Linked DNA regions of Callithrix jacchus. The protein of the gene in region 1 binds, or shares a complex with, the protein of each later gene. Links are inferred from orthologs where the notes say so. Each region holds a gene or a part of one and is shown on either strand. Other genes may lie near its edges. The genes, in order: ITGAV and ITGB6.

Region 1 (8,984 bases):
TAAATAACTCTTTATCATTAAATAAAAAACTTCAAAATTAAGGTTTACATCCATGCCAAGAAGTGCTAAAATATAAAGGATTGAGTTTGGAAGAGGGGACAGAAAGATGGACAGGAAGGAGGAAAAGAGACAGAAGAAAGGAAAGAGACAGGAAAGACAAGAGACAAAAAAAGGAGAAAAGAGACAGAGATAGGGAGGGAGAGGCATCAGAGGAGGAAGTGAGAGAAAGACAGACAAGGGCTCTAAGAAACCAATCAGGAGGATGCCCTTGGGATGCACTCCCTATCCAAAGTGTACTTGAAGGGTAGTTGATTCAGGGAATGCAACCTTGACAACCAAGGAGGGGCAACCAGCCAAACAATGACAAGCCCATTTTTCAAACCCTCCAAATAAACTAAGTTGTTTGGCTGCTTTCAGCACTGACCTTTCTAAGATAAATTATGTTTAATATATTTAGCTGACTTTGAGTTGACCAATGAGCCTTCACCAAAAGGAACTTGTGAAGAACTATCACACATGTATATAGAAATAAATGTGTATGAAATAGTACTGAATGTTATTCCAAGGCTACAATTCCAGTTTCAGATTTACTTTTCATTTTTTTAAAAAAATTCTCCTTTGAATCAAAAGAAAAATATAAAAATGCCAGTTAACAACTACATGATATAAAGCAGAAGCAGTAACTACAATTTTCATACATTTTCCCTTGTCTTTCATAATGCTCTATGAAACACATATAGTCCTTAATGGAAGTAATCAATATTGGATTTGCTTTCTAAATAATAAAATTATAGACAAATTTCTGTCCCCTATTATATATGTATCTTATTTATGATGAGAAAAATCAACCAGTATAACCAGAACTACTCTAAAGTTTATAAAAACGAGCTGGCATCATTTTGTAAAGTGTTGTGAAAACAGTTAAAATGGTAAGAGGAGAAACAGAACATGAAGTTTTAAAAACACACACAGGTTGGGACAGATTGCAAGTGACCTTAATCCAGGTTAAGCAGTTAGGACCTTCTCTCTAGCAATGGAAGCATTGTTATGAAAATTTTTGCAACAGAATACCAGGATGAAAAGGGGTGTTACAGAAAGATAAAACAAGTAGAAACAAATAAGATGTTTTGCAGGTTAGCCAAATGATGGGCAAAGGGATGGGGGGAGCCCTGAGTGCCACTGACCATGCTTGTCATACCTATACTGAAATGAGGAGTAGAAAGCAGACATGGAATCAAGAAATCTTACAAAGGAAGAATTTCTAGGATCTTCTGCCTGCTGACTAATCACTGACTGATATCAAAGTGACAAAGTAGGAAAGGTACAGAAAAATAGAAAATGAGAGGAGGAAAATGAAATTATTTCCAGGGTAACAGAGAAAAGGATGCCTCCATTAACAGAAACAGAGGTGCAACTGACATATTTTAGTGAAGAGTTCATTTGCAGTCAAATTGAATTAAGACAGGCTAGTCAACGAGAAATGATTCACAGGCTAGACCACTGGAATATCAAGTCAGCGATCTACTTTTAGATTTAAGATACAGCCAGGGCAGGAGTTTTATTTAAAAGACTTTCCAGGTATTGCAACCATGAAGTTAGGAATGAGATCCACTGAAGGATCTTCTGCTTCTAAGGCACACACCTCTACAAAAGTTGTCAACTGTAAGATAAGGCTCCATTAGTGTTTAATGGGGGCAGAGGAGGCAAGAATCCAGTACTATTCATTTTAGTATTATTTTAAAACAAATAAATAAAATGAGAACTGTATAACATATACTTGAAGAATAAATTTTTAAAGTTATTTTGTTCAAAATTTCAATATTTGAATAAAAAAAAGTGGTATTGGATTTCACACCCTGGCCTTCTGAGCCCTCCCTTCCTTACCCTCTACTCACACCAACCTACTCAAATAACTAGACTGCAAACTCTTCCGCCTCTATTTCCTCATCTGTAAGAATGAGTATATCTGCTTCCCGTTACTCACCCTGATGGTTTTGGCTATAGTATAAAATGAGATATAAGTGCTTAGCGAATTATAAAATGCTTACTAAAATAAGATGTCACTATAATTAAACCTAGGATGCAATTTTTAATTTTTCCAATTAGTTTCCACAAAAAAAGTATGACGTTCATTACTGGCCCGCATCCAACCTTTGGATTTCATGTAAGTGTTACAACGTAGTATAAATAAACGCTTACAGAAAAAAAGAATGTGAATGTTTTATTTTTCATAATTTTGAAAATCACTGTTTTTGCGAATTTTGACTTCAAACCTGACTCATTTCTGGAGCGATTTTTTTCAGGGGCAACCTTAACATTTTACTTAGAACTTTATTTGTCCTTCTCTTTCATAAATAATTTTTACAACAAAACTATGAAAATAATTCAATAATAATTTTCTATAAAGAAAAAAATGGTCATAAAATAATTCTACAGCTTCTTCAAGGAATGCGGACACTGAAACTGGAAAAGGCAACAGAAGTGGACGTAGTAACCATTGCCTCCTCACAAATCTTCTCCCCTTAGAAGAAAGGCACCCTTTGCGCACCTGTAGTCCCAGCTACTGGGGAGGCTGAGGCAGGAGAATTGCTTGAACCCAGGAGGTGGAGGTTGCGGTGAGCCAAGATCGTGCCATTACACTCCAGCCTGGGAAACAAGAGTGAAGCTCCAACTCAAAAAAAAAAAAAAAAAGACAGGAGGCTGAGGCAGGAGAATTGCCTGAACCCAGGAGGTGGAGGTTGTGGTGAGCTGAGATGGCGCCATTGCACTCTAGCCTGGGTAACAAGAGCGAAACTCTGTCTCAAAAAAGAAAGAAAAGAAAGAAAGAAAGGTGCCCTTTAATTGACAAATACTTTTTCATTATGTGGCTTTTTTTCTTTTGGAAGTTTATGATAATACCAAATAACAATAAATTCATATTGGAAATGGCATCCCATGTACCTTGGATTCCAATGCTTGTTAAATATAAAGTGCCCTTTTAGAAAATTCAGCGTAATTTTACATAAATCTTTGTTAAATCTGAAAAGCTGAGTAAGTAAAAACATTTGCCCTTTTAGAAAATTCAGCGTAATTTTACATAAATCTTTGTTAAATCTGAAAAGCTCAGTAAGTAAAAAAAACATTTGCCCTTTTAGAAAATTCAGCGTAATTTTACATAAATCTTTGTTAAATCTGAAAAGCTCAGTAAGTAAAAACATTTGTTTATATACTTTAAAACAACAACAACAACAAAACTCAAGATTGGTTTCCACTGTTTAACTTACCTATACCTAGAGCTCTCTAGTCTATCAGTAACAAAGTTGCTGATGAATATTTCAAAATATGATATGAAATCAAACCCAAGTTCAATTTTACCTTACCACTTAAGGTCTATGAGTGAAGTCATGGAAACCTGTGAGGTCATAACATATTCACTGATTGTAATGACTGGCCAAAGTAGTCACCCTGGCTTGTAATCAGAAATAACAAATATAAATAGTTCAACATTACTGCATTTTCCATTAAGAAAACCCACTTAAAGTTTATCAGCTTCTCTTCATCTTACACTAAACTCAGAGTATTGCTGAAGAATTAACAGTAACATTTGTAAAACACTGCATCAACTTTAAAGTTTTTTGTTATTTTGTTTTTTGTTTTTGTTTTGTTTCTGAGACAGAGTTCTCTCTCTGTCACCCAGGCCAGAGTGTAGTGGCACAGTCTCCACTCATTGAAACCTCCACCTTCCAAGCAATTCCCCATGTCAGCCTCCCGAAGAGCTGGGATTATAGGTGTGCACCACCACACCCAACTAATTTTTGTATTTCTTTGTAGTGATGGGATTTCACCGTGTGGCCCAGGTTGGTCTCAAACTCCTGAGCTCAGGCAATCCACCTGCCCTGGCCTCCCAAAGAGCTGGGATTATAGGCATGAGCCACTGCCTCTGGCCTGAAGTATTTAAATGCTAATCTTTGACAAAAGACATATATTTTCAAAATCATTAGAATTTCTGTACAAATTAAATCTAAAATTGAACCCTTGGGAGCAACTAAAATGTTCTGTATCATAAAGGTATACACTTGAAAGCATCTGGAAACAAAAATGTTTAAAGATAATGTTTGGTATTTGCCCCGTGGTTAAAAACAGTAACAAATAAAAAGGTAACGCGGACTAAAATGACTAAATGGAATGTGAAATCGGTAAATGTTGCCAAAGTTAATGATTATTTTTATCATTTTGGAAAATCTGTGTCCCAGGTCTCACAGAAAGCACTCTAACTGCTGACAACAAATGAAAACTAAGCCTGCTACATAAAATAATGTCTCCACTAACAAAGTTTCCATTCACTGCATCCAATCTATGCGTTGCTGCAAAGGTTGTTATCAAAATGAATGATACTCAGCAACATTCAGAAAAACACTAAGGCTAAATTCTGCTGTTCTAACAGTCACAGAAAAACGAGACCATCCTCAAATTAGGCATGTATGTAGTGGAAAATGGTCCTATCCAAGTACTAACCGTCAAGATTACCCTCCACCTCACCCCGAAGGGATATCTTATACAGCAAATATGGAAACAAAAATGTGTTGTTACAATTTCTAAGCATTTAGATGCCACCTTAAGAACAGTTTCTCTTTTGAAAATAAGATTTAAACATCATAAAACAACCAGTGAACACTCATTAAAACAGTATTCCTTATGCTAATATGGGGGTGGAATGGTGGTAATGACGTCAGCATTCAGTAAAGTCGGAGACAGTGACAATAATGACAATAACTGCCACAAATCTGAAGGTCCCTGCAACGCGGAACGTTGGCAAATTGAAAACATAACTGAATTATTAAATGTTGCAGTATTCTAATGACCTGCAGTGAGTGAAAACTCAGCAAACACCCTTGTTCCGTCTGAACAATGACCTAAATAGTGAATCACTATAAAAAGAACAGATGACACATTTAATTCATCTGTTCAACCTCAAATGTGCAAATGTTTGACAGTCCCAGAGATAAGACACAATGAATTCCGTGGGGCAATATGGTAATTTTAAGTCATCAGAATGTTTGCAAAAGGAGTGAGAAGAAACAAACTCAGACAGAGGCAGAAAGAGTGGGGGAGGGCTTGCTGAGGGAGAATGAAAAGGACCGGCGTTAAGTCTGAGAAGCAGAAAAAAGCTACCAAGAGCCTCACTGCAAATCCTCGACAATGGCACAGGAGGCGGGGAGTCCGGCAAGACCAGCCTTTGTTGATTTCCCACTTTCTCTGAATTTTGAGCACAGGTCCGCTTTAAAACTTTCCCGCTGCCCCTAATCACTTTTAAGAGGTGAGGAGTGGGGTGTAACTAGGTGATGGGTACCGAGGGGAGTTCATCTTCCCAAATATTTCCTTCACCCAGGACATAAACCACTCTGAGGGGGTTGGATAGGTAGGATAGACCCCGGGATCTCTCCGAAATCAATCCCAGGGGAGAAAAGCGGGGTGGGTGCAAGCGGTGGGGGAGGGGGCCGGCTCCGGCTCCAAGTGCGGCCACTTACGAAGACGCGCTGGGCGCGAAGAAATCCACCGCGAAGCCGAAGTAGCTTCCCTCGGGGCCGTAGTACTCCGCAGGACTGTCCACATCTAGGTTGAAGGCGCGGCAAAGAGGTAGCAGGAGTCCCGAGAGGAGACGCAGGAGGCCGCGGGGACCGAGGCGCAGCCGTCGCCGCGGCGGCGAAGCCATCGCCGAAGTGCGCGCGGGACGCCGAGCCCGGAGCGGCGGTCACCTCCCCGCGCCCCACCGAAGCGCCCGGTGCCCACGGCCCGCCGCCTGCGCGCGCCCAAACTTGCCAGCCGCTCTCTTCTCGGCGAGCCCCGGACCGCGCCGAGCGAGGCAGGAGGTCTGAGCCTCGGAGCGACCGACAGGGAAGAGGGGCGCAGAGCGCACGGGGCAGGGACAGCAGCGCAGGCGGCCCCTCGCTTCTCTCCCCTCCGCCGCTCCACGCAGCGTCCGAGGCTGGGGACTGCCGAGGGAGCGCCGCACCTCGGGCCCGGGAGCCGCGGCGGGACAGGGAGGAGACTGGAAGGAGGAGGAGCCGCCCGGGAGGCGGTGCCGCGGAGCTGGAGGAGGAAGTGGGGAAGCAGAGGCGCCTTCCACCCGAGAGAGCCCAGCGCCCTTCCGTGCGTGCGGTCCCCGCCTGTCCCGAGGCCCGGGAGCTTGTGCCGGGGCTCCCAGCTCCTGAGCCTGGGTCAGCGGCTCAGCTTCTGGACGAAGGCCTCAGACTGGGGACCGGGGGGCGGGGGGAGGGGTGTCACGATCCAGCGTCCCAATCCAGCCGCGTTCACGGGAGTAGCAAGAGCCGGCCACGTGCCCTTGTCCCGCCGGAAACTCCCGTGCGACTTTTGTTGAAAAATGAGGAAAACTTTTTATCCGCTTCTCGTGTTTCTGCTGCTTAGCCTGGCAGGCTCTCACGAAGGAAACTCTGTAATCAATGGTCGTTAATTACACTCCACCCCACACACAAACACTGAACTTAATTTCAGATTTCCAGAATAGCAGCATAGCCTCTTGCAAGTGAGATGTGTAAAGCTTAACTTCAGTAGTCAAAGAAAGGATTGGCAGGGCAAAGAATGGGCAATGATGGTTTAAAATCAAGTCAGAATAACCGAAGCCTTACTCCTAGTTTGTTAGCTACAGTTGTATGATTTCGAAAAAACATTTGTTGATTTAGGACGTTTGGATAGACTTGATTTCAGGGCTGGAAGAAGTAATGCACACCAGTGAAATAAGGCCGCTTGTGCTTGTTTGCCACTGGTGTATTCCACCAAGCCTTGACAACACTGTACTGAGAGAGGGCCTTCAGGACAGGAACGTCGACTTTTTCTTAGTATTCCTATTTTCTAGCACCTTGCCATGCAAATAGTAATCCATCAATAAAATGTTGAATCAATGAATGAATACCAGATGAAATGAGCAAACTGCACAGAGAAGTGACTCTTCCACATTTCAGGTGTTTCATGTGCTACAGAATCTGTTGAATAAGATTAAGTGCATTGTGAGGACCTTAACAACTTACAAGTAGGCACTATAACAGTGATTTCTGTTTTCCCAAAGTAACTATTAAAATTCAATGACAATATACATTAATAACCATCAAATAATCCTATAAAGGGATATGTATATAAATGGAAGTGAAATGCCTAATTTGAATTTACAGTATTTATTGGACCAGGCCCAGGTGCTCATGGTGGTAATCTCAGCACTTTGGGAGACTGAGACAGGAGGATTGCTTGAGGCCAGGAGTTCCAGGGGAACATATGGAGACCTCTTCTTTACAAAAAAATTTAAAATTAGCTAGCTGGGAGTGTGGTGCATGCCTGTAGTCCTAGCTATGCCAGAGGCTAAGGCAGCTAGATCGCTTAGGGCCAGGAGTTCCAGGTTACAGTTAGTCGTGAGTGTGTCACTGCACTCCAGCTTGAGTGACAGAACAAGACCTTGTGTTTAAAAAAAAAAAAAGGCCCACCACTGTGGCTCATGCCTGTAATCCTAGCACTTTGGAAGGCCAAGGTGGGCGGATTGCCTAAGCTCAGGAGTTCAAGACAACCCTAGGCAGCACAGTGAAACTCCATCTCTACTAAAATACAAAAAATGAGGCTGGTGTGGCGGCGTGTGCCTGTAGTCCCAGCTTCTCAGGAGGCGGAGGCAGGACAATTGCTTGAACCCAGGAGGCTGAGGTTGCAGTGAGCTGAGATAACACCACTGCACTCCAGCCCAGGCAACAGAGTAAGACTCTGCCTAAAAAAAAAAAAGTTACATTAAATATTTCCTTTTTAAAATTTGACTAAAAAACATGCAGCAAAACCTTTGGCATGTTTTACAAGGCATGATCCAGCATCTTTCTAAAAGTAAGTACTTTTAGATTGAGAGAGGAAATCCTACACAAATCCTTACACATAAATCCAAATACACCTTATTTCTTGCCTTTTTTTCTAATACACCAAAGAGGTTATAGATATGTATGCATAAACTCAAAGGGTATTTTATATGTTAAAACATGAGAATCAGTCTACCTGGAAATCCATCCAGGAAAGGAAGACAGAAGAGTTTAAACTCTGGCTAGATAGATCCAGTAAGTCTCCCACTCCTCATCTTCTGATCCCAGGACACGTGTCCAACAGACCAGGGTGGAGTGAAGAAATGTGAGAGGACCAGGGAAAGGAAGAAGCCAAAGAAATGACAGTACATGTAGTCCCACCAAAACTTGAGTGAACAGTACACTCCCAATAGGACTACGAACAGCTACTAAAAGCACTTATTATTGAGCCATTTCTTATGAGTTTATTTCGAATGAGCAGTCTTGAAAATCAAGGAATTTGTTTTGTTTTTGTTAAAAAAAAAAAAAAAAAAAAGCCAACAGGCCAGGCAGGGTGACTCGTGCCTGTAATCCCTGTACTTTGGGAGTCCTTGGGTGGATCACCTGAAGTCAGGAGTTCAAGACCAGTCTGGCCAACATGGTGAAACCCCATCTCTACTAAAAATACAAAAATTAGCCAGGTGTGGTGGTGTGTGCCTGTAATCCCATTCTATTCAGGAGGCTGAGGCAGGAGAATTGCTTGAACCTGGGAGGTGGAGGCTGCAGTGAACCAAGGTATTGTGGTATTGTGGGCCACTGCACTCCAGCCTGAGTGGCAGAGTGAGACTTTGTCTAAAAAAAAAAAAATTAAATATACATTTCAATTAGGAAACTATGAAGCAGACTAACCCAGTGCCTTCAGAAGCTTGGGGTTATAAATGCTGGCATCTCTTTGTAAGCCTGACCATGCTTGAGCAGCCACGCACACAGTGGCCTTCAAATTGTATTATCGAATATGTCAATTCAGCCAGTGCTGATTCAGAATTCACATTGCACCTGGTACTGTGTGCATGGGAGAGGGAAAAGAATGTTTTATTCTATGCAAGAATGGTGATACCCCTCCCCCACCCCATGACACTACTCTTTAAACTGCATTATAGCAGACTTCCAACTTAAAACAAG
Region 2 (8,415 bases), about 27 Mb from region 1:
TGAAATTACCCTACTAAACTCTCTATGGAAGCTTATTGTAGGGGAAAGACACACAGTATACCAAAGAACTAAATACAAAGTGTATTTAGGTAGAATATTCTCTGATTTTATAAAGGGGACCAAAAGCATTAGCAATGCTTTTATGATAGGTATTTAAGAGGTTGTTAGCACCAATAACAATAATAACAATAATAATACCTTACTTTTTATTCTATAGCATTTTTGAGGGCACAGGTCTTTATAACTCTGAATAGAAATCTATGTATTCAGCATTGCAGGAACTGATCTTAGATGCCACCTTATTCTGTCTTCCCTCATGACAAAATGCTGATTTTGGAGGGGCAGGTGCTTCCTTTGTAGTTAACTGGTCATGTAACTAAGTGCCAGCCAATTGGATGCAAGTCTAAGGTATTGAGTAAAATTTGTGGCAAAACCCCTTAAGTTGGGAAATAAAATTTAACAACCGTTTATAATTTTTAAAAAAACCTACCAAGCAAGGAATAGAAGATAATTTTTTTGATCTGATGAAAGGAAATAAAAAACCACTAGCTAACAACATATGGTGAAACACTGATCCTTTCTCCCTAACATCATGAAGATGACTAGGTTGTCCTCTCCTACTACATTTATTTAAAAGAGTACTAGACACCCAAGCCAGTGCAATAAGGTCAGAAATAATAAAGAGGAAGCATAGACGTTGGAGAAAAAGAAGTTGTTATTCACAGATGACATGATCATATACACAGAAAATTCTAAGGAATCTATAAAAATCACACTAGAACTAAAGAGAAAATTAATATAAAGTTTGAAGGATACAAAGTGAGTATGTAAAATCAATTGTATTTCTACATGTTATCCAAAAGGAATTTGAAAATAAAAAATTTTAAATGTCCCTAGAAATAAGTAAAACAAAACATATGCAAGATATCTACCCTGAAAATGATAGAACTTTGTGCTGAGACATTAAACAAGATCTGAATGAACGAAGATATATGTCATGTAAAATGACTGGAAAATTCAATACGTGTCAGATGTTTAATATCCCCACAAATTGATCAATGGTTTCAATGTTGTCTCAATAAAAATCTCGGCATATTTTTTTGAAGAAATTGACAAGTTGATTCTAAAATTTATATGGAAATGTCAAGGATCTAGGATAAACAAAATGAAAGGACAAAGTTGGAGGACTTATGCTCCTGATTTCAAGACTGTCTATAAAGCTACAGTAAGGGAGGTAGTGGGGCATTAGTGGTCACATGGTTATATTCAATGGATCAATGAAACAGAATAGTGTCCAGAATTAGACTCACACATATGGTCAATTGCTTGTCAACAAAGACATTAAGATAACTCAATGTGGAAAGGAAAATCTTGTCTAACAAATAGTGCTTGAACAACTAGATATCTCTATGGAAACAAAAAAATCAACCTAGACATTTTTTTCTCATTCCAAATACAAAAACTAATTTGAGATCAGAAGCCTAAATGTAATCACATTAACCACAAAGCTTCTAGAAGAAAATATAGGTGGAGTCTTTGTGACCTTTACAGTAAGCAAAAATTTAATAGAACATAAAAAAACACTATAAAATTAAAAATTAATAAGTTGGACTTCATCAAAATTAAAAACTTTTGCTTGACCAAAGGCATTATAGAAAAATTAAAATACAAGCCGTAAAGTGGGAGATAATATTTTTGACAAATACATATATGTATATTTTTGGCAAAATGTATTTGACAAAAAACTTGTATCCAGCATATATAAAGTACTCTTAATGCACAATGTTGGAAAGATAGTCTAATCTTAGATTTCAAACGAAGCTTCACAAACTAAATAGGAATGGCAAATAAACACAGGAAAAGGTGCTCGACATCATTCATCATTAAGGAGATGCAAATTAAAGCTACAATGAGATACTACTGCACACCTATTAGAACGTCTAAAATTAAAAAAACTGACAACATCAAGTGTCAGTAAGGATGAAGAATATCTGGAACCTTGTCATACTGCTGATGGAAATGCAAAATGTACATTCGCTTTGGAAAACAATTTGGTAGTTTCTTTAAAAATTATACAGTTCAGCAATTCCAGTTTAGGTGTCTATTGTGAAGAGAAGTAAAAGCATACATCCATTCAAAGACTTCAGTGCAAGTGCTCACAGCAGCCTTTTCATAATAGCCCCCTAAAATAGAAACAACTCAAATGTTCTCCAATGAAAGAATGAGTAAACAAAATATAGTAAATAAATACAATGGATTGTTAACTGAAACGAAAAGAAGCAAACTCCTGATACATACAAAGTCATAGGTAAATCTTGAAAACATTATGTTGAACCAAAGAAGCCAAACACAGAGGGCATATACTACATTACATATTTATATAAAATTCAGGAATAGGTAAAACCAATATAAATTATCGACTTCGGAAAGCGGTTGCCTTTGAAGTGGTAGAACTGACTGTAATGGGAAATTTCTGAGGTGATGAAAATATTCTGCATCATGTTTTGGATACTGATTGCAATGGTATATTTAACCATCAAAACACATCAAACTAAACATTTTCCATCTGTGCATTTTAGGCATGTCAACTATACGTCACAAGGAATTGTGAGGAGTAGGCAGACAGTGTACTTATTGCCCCTATTTTCCTCCTTTCCTCCTGACTGAAATGAAGAAGTGATGATTAGTACCCCAGCACCATTCTTGGACCATGAAGATAAAATCCAAGTGTCAATAATGGTGAAACAGAGAGCAGAAAAAGGCCTGGATTCCTCATGTTTTTGAATCTGCCATACATCCCTGAATGGCCTTCCTCTGGTCCTTATATAAAAAAACAGAAGAAAATATTGGCTGGGCATAGTGGCTCATGCCTGTAATCCCAGCACTTTGGGAAGCTGAGGCAGGTGGATCACTTGAGGTCAGGAGTTTGAGAACAGCCTGGCCAACATAGTGAAACCCAGTCACTACTAAGACTACAAAAAATTAGCCGGGTGTGGTGGCAGGCGCCTGTAATCTCAGTTACTCAGGAGGCTGATGCAGAAAAATTGCTTGAACCCAGGAGGCAGAAATTGCAGTGAGCTGAGATCATGCCACTGCACTCCAGCCTGGGTGACAGAGTAAAACTCCATCTCAAAAACAAACAAACAAACAAACAAACAAACAAACAAACAAAAAACCTCCCTTTTTAAGCCACCATCACAGATATTTAAAACCAAACACAATTTTTAAGTGTTACAATCATTGAAAAGTTCCTTTTATGGTTAAATTATTTTTGATTATGTTAGATTGTAGTTGGGGGCTACATTGAGATTTTTTTAAATGGTATAATAAAAGCTATTTATCTTTTATAGAGATTGATGCTTTTGGTGTATAAAAGTATTATGTCAATAAACATTTGGAAAATTATTTCATATATATTAGATGTATAGTAGTAATGGGCTTGCTTTTGGGACAAATCGAATATGGGTACAGATCATGGGTTTGTCATGTGGCCTTGGGCAAATAGCTAACCTCTCAGAGCCTCTTATTTCTTCTGAGTATAGAGCTGGTGTTATTAAGCTTTAACCTGCTGTTATGAAGACTGAATGAGGTCATGTGTGTAAAACCTTCAGCACAAGGTCTGGCACAGAGCATATAGTAGCTCTTTTTCAATAGGAGAATATTAAATAGTTTGTTTCTGAACATGTCATTCACTTAACAGGTAAGCCATCACAAAGCAATTTGTCCTCCACCATCACCTGAATAATATGTGGTTTTAATAGCTTATTATAACATATTAGAATGGAGTCATTGCCTATGAAATCATTTACTACTGAATTTAATAGCTATGAAGGCTGCCCAGGCCTTCTCCAAGCAATAGGAGAAACAAATATTTCCCAAAGTACATCAGAGAAAGTTGCAAAAATTATTATTTTGCCAGAAGTCATTGTTGTGGAGAAACATTCTGGGAAAGTGAAGTTATTCTCCAATAACCTCAGAAAGTGGTGGCCACTGAGACTAGAAAGTGTGTGAAAGACTGGGCGAGGTGCCATCCAGCGGAGCCTATGGTGAAAGCCTTGGTCCCCTTGTCTGCATAACACACATTCTGGTTTGCTACAACCTGCCCTACACTGGAAGGCAGATGCAGAGGCTGCAAGAAGCCATGGCTAGAACCATGTAGTTCAGATGACCTCACCTCCACTCCAAGCAACCTAGGCACTGGAGAGAACTGCTGAGATCCAACCAGATGAAGCAGAAATGCCAGGGAGTTAGCAAGCTCCTGGCAAGTGCAGCTCAGAGCCGGGGTATCTCCACAAAAAATCAGTGCACGAAGATGCCAAGGGAATCATTTGCTTACCTGCAAGGGTTGGCAATTTCTTCTGGTGTTGTTTTCACAAAAGGGGATACAGGTTTTTCAACAAATGATCCGAAGCCCAGTCTAAAGTTGCTGGTTAATTTAGACATCTCCTTGGAAAGCCGGGATCCCAGCTCCTTGATTGTGTGGAGGTCATCATCCATGGAGGCGGAGAGGTCCATGAGGTAATACAAATCCACCGGATAGTCCTCGGTCTGGCGGACATGCACTTGCAGAGTCTGTGCACCACCTGCAAAGACCAATGGGAAAAGCAAACCCAGAAAAACACACTGAGATTCATTTGCAACTGGCCAGTTGCTGGGTCAGCTGGCTATTACACCTCAGTAAGAACTTACTGAAAGTCAAGGTCCTAAATGAACCAACCCATAAAAATTTTTCAGCAGGGAGTTTAGAACTACTGGAGGATAAGTTAGGATATTTTATATCTCCTTGGGAGAACTAGCATCCATTTAGATAGAAGATAAGCTGAATTTTTTGTGCTTCGTTTTAGAAAAGAGGCATCTAATAAAAGAGAGTTTAAATCTACATTACAACCCTTGAAGAGATGTGAGGTAAGCCTTAACAACATTTGAGTAATTTAAATGGTTACTATTAGAGAAGGCTTCTTTAGTAACACATTTGGAGTGCCAGGGACCAATGTGAATAAAGAAAAGTGTGAGCCTAGCAATTTTCTATTTCCTTAAGAATGGGAAATTCGAGGCATAATAATCAATGTAATACAATACAAGACACATTAGTGGAGTAGAAGAATTGCCATATATGACATCAGATCTATTTACATGAGCCAAATCCTAACATACCTGGTCTCAACTTCAGGATCAAGCTTTGAGGTGCAATCTGAACAATGTCAGAACTATTTTTCTGTGTGCCTACACTGAGAGGCTTATTTTTAAGTATTTCTACTTGTGAGACAGGGTTTTCGATGAAGTTTAATTGACATCCTTTAGCTAATAGGTTTGCTGGGGTATCACACCTTTCGCCAACTCCAGATGAGTGGGTAAAATTCTAAAAAAGAAAAAAGAAAATCAATAACTAGAAAAAGAAAACAAATCTGAATTTCTTATAAGATACCAGCAATTGAAAGTTTTTTATTATACATAGAAAGGAACAACCAGTATTAACCTTTCTAAAAATATACCAAAAAGTAAACAGCATCAACATAAAGAAGAATTTACATCAACGAATGGATAAAATAGCCAGTTAACATCAAATGGCAGTAACCCTAAATTTAAGTCGACTAAATCCCCCAATCAAAAGATACAGCCAAAACCTAACGGTATGCTACATCCAGACCCATTTCACATCCAAAGATACACAAAGACCTAAAACAAAGGGTTGGAGAAAGATCTACTAACCAAACGGAGAGCAAAAATAAATAAATAAATAAAAAGCAGGAGTTGCAATTCTTGCAGCTGATAAAATAGATTTCAAAGCAACAAAGATATAGTGGTAAAAGGATCAATGCAACAATAAGAGCTAACGATCCTAACACCCAGATACATAAGACTCATAAAGAGATTTAGACTCAATGAGATAGAAAATTAATAAGGATATCCAGGACTTGAACTCAGATCTGGAACAAGTAAACTCAATAAATATTTATAGAGCTCTCCATTTTAAATACACAAAATATACATTCTTCACCTTAAATACACAAAATATTCATCAGTCATTATTAATACCCATTTTTAGAATAAACCTACATTCCCGTTCTCTCTCCCTCTTTTTCTTCCTCTTTCTTCCTCTCCTTCACTCCTTTTTTTTCTTTCTTTCAAAAAAAAAAAAGTTTTTCTGCATATTTTGCTAGTTAAGCATCTTGCCATGTTGTATCCCTACATGACTAACATTGATTATATGTCTAACGTTAAGTTATAGGTGAATAACCAGAGAATTCTGCCAGTAAAATTCTGAGTAAAACTGGCATCTCCTTTTAATTATATTCAATAGAATTCACGTAACAGTCGCGTGTGTGCGTGCGTGCGCACGCGTGGCTTAAGCTCACTTCTTTAAAGCTTCTTCCCAGGCCACGACCAGTTCCTTGAAAGAGTGAGGTTCGTAGATTTTCCTTGTATATTTTCAATCCTGTTTTGATACAGGAACTCGAAAAAAGCATAATTCTCTTGGACTTTTGTTTGTGGCTGCATCGGTCAAGGCCGTGTTAGGGGAGTGAGCTGCGTTTGTGCTCTCTTGTCTGTGAGGCCACCCTTCATGGATAGACACTGAACTCGGAATTTGGGTTTCTACAGGTAGAGCCCAGTTCTGAGTTTGGTGTCGAGGTTTGTTTCTCTTTGAGCATGCTACTAAGCTCTCGCTGAACTTGGCATTCTAAACAATTTATGTTTAGATTATCTTTATGAGATCCAGTGGGTAGAGACTTGTTTTAAAATTCGGAGAGCTAATGCCTTTCTCACCATGAATCAATTAGACATCGCTCTCTAGTGTCTTAGGATGGCTTACTACATAGTCCCCAATCATCTTCATACTGCTTTCACATAGTTTTCTGTTTGACCAGATAAGGAGTGCCTATTTGGGACTTTTTCACTGGTGTGGTACAGAGTCACTGAATTTATGAAAATTTAATTTTTAAAAGATCTGGATAATGTCTGACCAGTAATATTTGCCTCAAACCTAGAACACATGCCTTAGAAGCTAGTAGTAGTTCAGAATGGATCCTGGTACCAGATGGAATACAACTAGAATATGAACATCAAATGTATGTTTAACTTTAGAAAATATCTCCTTGGTCTCTGATTATCCAGACAGCCTCCATATTTTACATGTAACCGGTTAGAAATGGCTTTACAATAAAAGAAGGAACCAGGTAAAATTAAAAATACCAAGTTAAGTATTTTCTCAGAATAATTTGACATCCACTCCTTCCATAAATTGTTTTTGAAAGTAATCACATGAATGCCATTTTGAGCCACCATTGCTCACCTTCTCCTTTCCCGATTTGTTTTACTCATGCAATTCCACAAAAAGCAAGACACAATCAGAACTATTGCTGAAGAAATTAACATGACTGTAACTGCAGACAAGTTTTAAAAACACGTTGAGGTCATTCGTTTTACCTCCTGAGCACACCAGGCACACTGAGGTCCAATGAGCAGGCAGTCTTCACAGGTTTCTGCACCTCCCAGGGCACAGCCACCTAGGTTTAGACCCAGCAAGATGCAGAAATTAAGTACACTTTCAGTCATTCCATTTGTCAGACTGATGGCTCTTACATTACTTGAACAAAACAACATCAAAGGTAATTTTAGTATGCAAGATCATTCCTCGAAACGTTAGCAAGTCACATAAAACTTTGTATTTTACATCTATCACATGTAAAATATGTGTACATATATTAAAAAGTATGTATGTCTTTCAAACCAAAATTACCATTCTCTTTTTTCTTAAAATGTGGAAGTTCACAAATATAGGATTATCCTATTTATTATTAGCCAATATTTGCCACTTTAATTTTTAAAAATTACTTGCATCCATTAAAAAATGCTTCTCTCTTAAATTAGGCATTTCTGTTTTTGAAATAAGTCCTCCTTTTTCTCTTTCAAGATTATTACTCTTAAGTGGAAGATCTTGTGGTAGAATAAAATAGAAAAGTTTCAAAAATGGTTATTACAATGGCACGAAATTCTATAGGGCAGTAATGCTATTTAATTATCCTCTTTAAAATGCCTGTGCAACCTTTGTATTTATTTACCTTAAGCCTACAGCATTCGCTATGGAACTGCGTGGTGTTTGCCTGTAATTGTTAAAGTGTTCACTCAGTGACAAAAGAGCAATGGAACAGATCAAATAAAAAATGACTTCAGATCTACTTTCTGAACCAAATGACAGGTTTGTCAAGCATACCATGAAAGCAGTATATCGGAGAACACTGGTCTTACCTTGTACGTGATCATTCCTTCCTAGAAATAGAAAGAACAGGCAAAGCAGTTCAATCCCCATTCGTTTCAGTTCTTGCTGTGCAGACCGATTAAAAAATGAATTACCTTCAGCGTTTCAAGACCAAAGCTGAATATTGTTAAAGTCTTTCTTTCTTGAAGTACATTTTA

The links.
Region 2: the proteins of ITGAV (region 1) and ITGB6 are in contact, whole or in part, in a crystal structure (PDB 9CZA), measured with the Homo sapiens proteins. The link is inferred for Callithrix jacchus from reciprocal best matches to the Homo sapiens genes ITGAV and ITGB6. Residues at the interface, in NP_002201.2 of Homo sapiens: Tyr48, Phe51, Lys72, Trp123, Leu141, His143, Gln150, Glu151, Arg152, Pro154, Asp178, Ala179, Phe184, Gln186, Phe189, Pro204, Tyr208, Trp209, Asp249, Tyr251, Tyr254, Pro274, Arg275, Arg278, Thr279, Met302, Ala303, Tyr305, Phe308, Pro328; in NP_000879.2 of Homo sapiens: Ser183, Pro184, Phe185, Lys187, Thr188, Thr189, Pro190, Ile236, Asp237, Thr238, Pro239, Asp273, Ser274, His275, Phe276, Gly277, Met278, Asp279, Lys281, Leu282, Ala283, Gly284, Val286, Pro288, Glu308, Thr311, Ile312, Gly313, Gln314, Ile316.

The regions. Positions count from the first base shown.
Region 1 is NC_133507.1:42,391,831-42,400,814, forward strand, and holds the start of ITGAV (integrin alpha-V), read right to left. Parts: upstream 5,996-8,984; 5' UTR 5,693-5,995; coding exon 5,508-5,692; intron 1-5,507.
Region 2 is NC_133507.1:69,656,929-69,665,343, reverse strand, and holds part of ITGB6 (integrin beta-6), read right to left. Parts: exon of another isoform or gene 8,324-8,415; 5' UTR 8,309-8,323; coding exon 8,248-8,308; intron 7,506-8,247; coding exon 7,426-7,505; intron 5,360-7,425; coding exon 5,155-5,359; intron 4,584-5,154; coding exon 4,337-4,583; intron 1-4,336. UniProt on the Homo sapiens protein: Integrin alpha-V:beta-6 (ITGAV:ITGB6) is a receptor for fibronectin and cytotactin. It recognizes the sequence R-G-D in its ligands. Internalization of integrin alpha-V/beta-6 via clathrin-mediated endocytosis promotes carcinoma cell invasion.